Yarrowia lipolytica: one gene and its partner. The protein of the gene in region 1 interacts with the protein of each later gene in a pairwise test. Links are inferred from orthologs where the notes say so. Each region holds a gene or a part of one and is shown on either strand. Other genes may lie near its edges.

Region 1 (3,792 bases):
GTTCACACCATCGAGTCCCAGAGATCTCGGGGTCACGACGGAGTATTTTTGAATTGTGCTCATAATGAGGGCGTTACAGACACAAGATGAGCTTTTAGATCACAGATATAAGGTGGAGGTGAGGTGTGGTGAAGACGGATAATTGACATATAGAGGGACTTACTGCATTTGTGTAATGTGGGACTGCAAGTATAAGTACAGTAGTTAGCCAGTGTGCGGTATAAAGCAGTTGCCACGGTAAAACATACAGTACCAATTCTTCGATTCGTCGAACTCTCGCGAAGTCGTCGTACTGTGGGTTACAAGCTGGGATCATACAGCTGTTGCCATCTCTGATGAACAACTGCAACAGATGGTGATGGTAAGTATTAATGCGTTCTTTGGACTGAACTGCTGGTCAGTGATATTTGATCAAATGATATCATGGCGACTTTCCAAGTTCACAGCCACTTGGTGGGGTGCCTTGTTCGGGGATGTTGCGTTCTCATGCCACCTCCAAAGCTGCCTCCTGTAGTGTGGGTGTCATATAGATACAGAACATTGTACATTGTTTGTGAGTGGATTGTCAAGATGCAGTACATACTGTAGCTCCACTGCAGTGCAACTCCATAGTTGCGATCTCACAAATGGCTTTACGTACCACAAGTACAGTACGAACTGGTACTCCTCTTCCCCAATACGATCGTCCCTCTCTCCGTCAGTGTCTCATCTGTTCAATTCGAGCTATGTTCCTAACTAGTTCACGATAAGATGGCGTGTCATCACATCGCTGCTCCATAATCCTACACTTAATTACATCACTTATATCACGTCAGCCATGCTGTCCTCCTATTACTGATTGCCTTGTCCGTCTTTGACCCACATTGTTTGGGTGTTTACTGCTGCTCCTGCTGCTGCTGCTCCTGTTCCCTAGCCCTGGCAGCCTCGTTCTGTGCGACGGCCGCTTGTGCCTGGGCATGGACCTGCTCAAACTGGCCCTGTGGAGGCTGGCCGTTGACGTCAATGTCCACATTGTGGAAGTCGAGAATCTCCGAGTACATCATCACCTTCCATGTGTCCACCGGCAAGTCTGCGTCATTGAACGACCAGTCGAACCGTTCCTCGGCTACAGGCTCGTCGCTGGGGTCGTGGTATGGTGCCAAGTAAGGGTGGGCCAGAGCCTCGGCCGCGGTTATTCGCTTTTTGGGGTCGAAAACCAGCATTTTCTCCATGAGATCGATGGCCTCGGGGTCGGCGTTTCGGAACTTGGACGCCAGAGGGATTCGTTCTCGCCGGGGCAGAGTTCTGACGAACCTCAAAGTGTTTTCCGAGCAGATGGTGTGAATCACATCTTCTGGGGGCGAGCCCAGCAGCTCGGTGATGATGGAGAACTGGTGCACGTGGTCCTTGCCGGGGAACAGGGGCTTGCCCTCCAGCATCTCGGCGAAGATGCAGCCCGTGGACCAAATATCCACCTCCACATCGTACTTCTGCCACGTGAGCATGATTTCAGGCGCTCGGTAGTACCGGGTCGACACGTAGCCGGTCATCTGGGTGTCCTGGATTCGGGCAAGGCCAAAGTCGCAGATTTTCAGGTCGCAGTTCTCGTTGACGAGGATGTTGGACGGCTTGAGGTCTCGATGGACCACACCGGCAGAGTGCACGTACTTCAGGCCTCGCAGAATCTGGTAAAGAAAGTACTGAATGAACTGCTTCTCCAGAGGCCGGGTCATGAGCAGACGGTGCAGGTCTGTGCCCAGCAGCTCGGTGACAAAGTAAATGTCTTCCAGCGGCGAGATGAAAATGTCGCTCAGGCAAATGAGGTTTTCGTGGCGCAGGTGCTTGAGCAGCTTGAGCTCTCGGTACGTCCGTTTCGACAGCACGGGAGTGCCGAACGGCTTCATGATTTTCTTGATGGCCACGTTCTGGTCCGTGAGCTGGTCCTTGGCCGAACACACGAGACCAAAGGCTCCCATCCCCACGGGGTTGAGATCCACGTATCGCGACGTGATTTCGAAACACGTGCCGAAGATCTGGGTCCGGATAAAGTCCGCCATGTTACGCGCTGTTCCTGGGAGACGGTAGAGAGAGTCACAGGGGTCCGAGCTACACTTGGTGATGTAGTGCTGCGAGTTGTGTGGTGTGTGTGGTGTCTCGAGAGTATCGCCAACCTAACTTGTGCTTGCTGCACCAAACCAATTTTGAATTTTCAACCTGCAGGGTACGCGGCTGGCGGAGATGGTTGGGGGGGGGCTTCTGAATGTGGCTACGATCCTTGTGAGGGCATTTATCGACTTTGGTACACGGTATTCGGCCCCGGTTACATATTTCTGTTTTCTTTCGACGTCCCTTGTGCGTTCACGGCTCTTTTGTTGAATCGTGCCGTGTCATGACGTCAAAAAAAGAACGAACAGCACAGCAACCAAGCACACACGCTAGGTCACCAGAGAACAGCTTATATAAGGTGGCGAACTTGGGGAATTGAAATTGAGAGCCGGGAGTGCCAGCATGGTTACACACACAGCCCGTCCCGCTCGTTATCACTCCGTTTTACGCTCCTCATATCCCCCCACTTAATGTCTCATTATCGCCGCATTGTCGTTGATTGGGTGTGCTTATGTTGTCAACTTGGGAACATGATACAGTTGACTTGAAGAATGATCATACTGTAAATGAATATCTCAGTACTTGTACAAGTACTCGATTATGTACAAATACAAGCAAAATACACCCCCATCTGCACAGTATCCATCACACACGGCTATAGACGGCATACAAGTAGTTCCCCTCACACACGTACACACCCATCCATCAATCACAGGTGGCTTTTTAGAGTCCAACAAACAGCAGACCGCAGAGTTCTCTTTTCCACCACACAAAGAGAATGACAAGCACTACACGAGAATCATTCGTAGAAATGGTGTCGCTATCGTACAAGTACGAGCACTCGTATTGTACAATAGCATCTGAAAAGATATCGTCGTATAACTCGCAAACCACAACAGATATGAACAAACCCACTGCGATATTCTTATCTGAGTATCACATGTACCTGGCACCTTGACTTGCAGCATCATAGACCCAATGTTTGGATCTAATTTGCTGTCAGAAGGCGTCGTATCTGAATTCAGACGTCGGAGAGAACGGGAGTACGACAGAAGAAGCAGTTCACATATTAGTAACCAATCACATTCCACCCGCTCACCAGTCAGCCATCAACCCATTTCCATAGACTCTCTGCATCTCATTTATTGCTTCTATTGTTTTCTCGTTTTGTTATGAACCAACCCCACACTGCAAATTCAACATCACAGGATTCTGTATACCTGCGAATGAGAACAATTTGGTTGACTCTGTTGCTTAAAATAACCCCTGTTTAAACAACAAGGTTACTGTCTTATTGCTATTAAATCCTATCATTTAACTTCTCAATAAGCCGTTAATCTCGGTTTTTCTTGGGGGTCACGTGATGTAATTGTTGCCTGTGGTGTAACGGGAGCTTTTTATTTTTTAAAATTCAGGCATCCTGGCCGAGCGGTTAAGGCGAGAGATTAGAAATCTCTTGGGGTTTCCCCGCGTAGGTTCGAATCCTGCGGATGTCGTCATTTTTTTGTCCTTGCACAACTTTTTGCTATAGGAAATACCATGGACAACTTACTGTACTGTACTACAACTACAAGTAGTACGCTCTACACAACCACCACCCCCTGTATCATTAATCATGCAATGTATAAATAATTATGTATGCTATGTCGTGTCATCAATTCCCATATCCATCTCCTTCACACCCAGACTCTTCTCTATCCCTCCGTC
Region 2 (3,394 bases), on another chromosome or scaffold:
TGTCAACTTGTTTATTCTCTTGCGCAGCTGTTTGAGCCAGTAGATGATGATTTTAAATCTGGTGAGAGATAAGGTTGGTCTCGAAACCTTATTTGAACCGATATTTGGAGAGATTTGAGCGGGTTATAATGAGAATATTTGTGTGACAATTGATAGCTATTGTTGTAATGTTGAAGTAATACCCAAGTCTAGTTTGGTCTGTGTCTTTTCCAGACTTCTCCAATGAAGTTTTCTGCAGTCACCACCACCTAAATTTAGTTACATTTTACTTGGGTTTGTAACCAGTACAGTTGAGGGTTGTGAGACTGAGATGAAGCGTCATAGTGCTAAACGGATATATAACACCAATATGAATCCAACGATGGGCCATATAACAGACTAAACGGTATTCTATCTGTTGTATACTCTGTTTTATACTACTCTTGTGGATTATGGAACCCTTACCGTGATTCCACTTTCAACTATGGTAAAGTGATGAACATGGTAGTTATCAAACATGGTATGAACATGGTACAGTACATACTGTAGTTATAAAACATGTAGTGATAAACAGGGTAAAGTGATGAAACAATGTCAAAATTAATATTACTCTGTTGTCCTAGCTCTGATGAACTGAACTATCAACTTCTCATCTTCCTAGCATCTCTGTGAGACGAATTGGATTCCACACGTTTGTAGATAGCAGCGACGTGTGCAGATATCAGCTGCTAAATATAAGAACCAGACACAAGCTCAGTCCAGAGATTTCTTCTAGAATCCTACGCAAGATAATGTATCATTCAATCCCACTTACAAATAATCATCTGATTGGTTCCCCACCCCTCCGTCTCAACTTCCCTTACAGTCAATTGTTGTGTTTCAGATCAACCCCTGTTTCACAGTTGGCTTTAGTTAACTCCGGAAGGCTCCACATAAACTGAAGCCAGACTACAAATCGCACTAGTGCTACAATCACGATTCAAAGAAGCCCAACTTGTTCACCACGGCAAATAAACCCTAACAATTGTTTCCCTGTTCTTTTATAGCCTCCAAATCCACTTGCACTATACACCTTCCTTTACCACCTCCCTCACTAGACTCTACTTAATCTTCAAGTGAAATTTCTTAACTCCGTTGTTGAACCCAAAAACCACCACTTAGTAAGCCACATCTGCCGCCTCACTCAAGGGAAATACACACAAAATGGGGATGCTCACTTTTGTCACCGTCGACCCGGTCTCACTCACCTACAAGCACTCGAGAAGAACAATTCCCATTCGGTCGCCAATGTCCGAAAAACCCTAACCCTACCACAAATAAGCCTTTGCCACTTCCTTGCACTGTGGGGTGAGTGGTGTGTCTCCACATACACGAGATAGAGAGACGTGGACGGAACGTCGAAAAAGCAGTGGTATCTACGACAACAGCAACCAGGCGATCACGTGACCCACGACCGAACGAAAGCACGTGACAGATCAATTTCAGAAGCCGCGTGAAACTCCACGCAAACCAGACGGGAACAGCAGACACACACACACACACACACACACAATAACGCACGATACTAACGATGCTCAAGCTATTTCGACGAAACAGTAAAGATGAAGCCAAAGGCCATCCGATGCTGGCCAACAACAACGGGCTGCCTGTGACCGACTCGCCACTGTCATCGTTTGCTGTGGGCGTTACGGAGGACAAAAACTCGCGGTGTAGACGGACCATGGAGGATTATCATGTGGCTGCACACAACATTTGCGGCACGCCCGATTCGGGGCTGTTTGCAGTATTTGACGGACATGCGGGCAAACAAGCGGCTGAGTACTGCGCAACGGCAGTTGTCAGTGAGGTGGAAAGTCTGATTATGGAGTCTGAGGGATTCAAAAGCGAAGACTCTGCAACCGAAGACCCTGAAGTCGTGCAGGAGGAGGGGCTGGAGCACCAGGACAATGACAAGAGCTCGAAGACTGTGCCAGAGCTGCTTAATCTTGCCTTCATGGCCATTGACCGGTCAATTGAGCAGAAGAACCTGAATTCCGGATGCACAGCAGCAGTGGCTCTGTTGAGATGGGAGGATTCTCGAGGAAAGCCCGTGACGGTGTCTTCTGATCACTCACCCAAGGACTACACTCCCGTGTTTCCCCGTGCTCCATTGTCCGAGTGCAAGCGCAAGCTGTACACTGCCAACGTGGGAGACACTCGGTTGATTTTGTGTCGAGCAGGCAAGGCCCTTAGGCTGAGCTACGATCACAAGGGCACCGATCTCCATGAGTCTAAACGAGTCACCAACAACGGCGGAATGATGATCAGCAATCGGGTCAACGGAATGCTTGCTGTTACCCGTGCTCTGGGAGACACGTATATGAAGCAGTTTATTATTGGTAACCCATACACGACCGAGACGGAAATCATTGCTGATGACGAGTTTCTGATTGTGGCTTGTGACGGACTGTGGGACGTTTGTGATGATCAGAAGGCTTGTGATCTGGTGAGTGGACTAGAAGATCCTGTTGAGGGAAGCCGAATACTGGTGGAGTTTGCTCTGGAGAACTTTAGCACAGATAATTTGACTGTGATGGTGGTGAAATTGCGATAAGTGACAAAGGCAGGGTGACGAAATAGCTGTGTTTGAAGCGCATGTCGGACAGCCTCCTCCGAGCTGTGTTCTTTTGAGGCTATCCTAGCAGTTTTTCTGAAAGCTGCCTGTATTTGTCTAACTGTGACCAACCATCAGGTCAGCTTCATCTGACTTCCTTGTCTGAGGTACAGCTTCAATCATACAACACAAAAGCTTCTGTTTCCATTCTTCAAGTCTTGCCCACTTGTTGATGGTATTCTTCGCACCTTTCATGCTCCTCGTTGGACCGAAAATGCTCCCCTTCATCACCGGAACCTGTATAGCCAATACACTAAGTTATTTGACTGTCATTGGAGTAGATCCTCCATTACTGAAGCAACAAGTACAAGTAATGATCTCTGGCAATTGTAGTCAGAAGCGGGATTATAAGTACAGTTGTATTGTGACTAAATTTCTCCAACAAGTCATCTCCCTGATCGTCTACCATGAACGGATGGATGGATGCTCAAGGTGTAAGACATGTCTCGATGAATGCCGTGGCAGGTGGCTGTCAGTGTATGGAATAGTCGGGTCTTTCCGTATCGACAGTGGCTTCGTTCTCAGTCTACAGTTATGTACCAAGTTACAAGCACTGTACTGTACATACTCGAACAAGTACAGTGCCTGTACGTTTGCCTTCTATAATTCACAATGTATATAAATAAATAAAACCGTCAATAGACGACATCGGATCACCGTCAGAACCTGACTTATTGATCATACGAGACGAAATCAAAGCCGTCCCCAAACAGCCCCTCCATATCGTCGTCTGCGATTCCCGTAGTGTTGCCTGCGTTGTTT

What was found. The genes of interacting proteins can lie anywhere in the genome.
Region 2: the proteins of YALI1_E30073g (region 1) and YALI1_D27867g interact in a two-hybrid assay, tested with the Schizosaccharomyces pombe proteins (2 studies listed by BioGRID). The link is inferred for Yarrowia lipolytica from reciprocal best matches to the Schizosaccharomyces pombe genes sty1 and ptc1.

The regions. Positions count from the first base shown.
Region 1 is NC_090774.1:3,005,243-3,009,034, forward strand, and holds YALI1_E30073g (uncharacterized protein), read right to left. Parts: upstream 2,037-3,792; coding exon 876-2,036; downstream 1-875. Other genes in the region: YALI1_E30053g (uncharacterized protein), read right to left, coding at 1-63; YALI1_E30074g (uncharacterized protein), read left to right, coding at 2,218-2,331, 2,385-2,633; YALI1_E30109g (uncharacterized protein), read right to left, coding at 3,727-3,792. UniProt on the Schizosaccharomyces pombe protein: Proline-directed serine/threonine-protein kinase involved in a signal transduction pathway that is activated by changes in the osmolarity of the extracellular environment. Controls osmotic regulation of transcription of target genes.
Region 2 is NC_090773.1:2,784,853-2,788,246, reverse strand, and holds YALI1_D27867g (uncharacterized protein), read left to right. Parts: upstream 1-1,549; coding exon 1,550-2,572; downstream 2,573-3,394. Other genes in the region: YALI1_D27844g (uncharacterized protein), read right to left, coding at 3,304-3,394. UniProt on the Schizosaccharomyces pombe protein: Serine and threonine phosphatase. Has a specialized role in the heat shock response. May be responsible for the dephosphorylation of hsp90.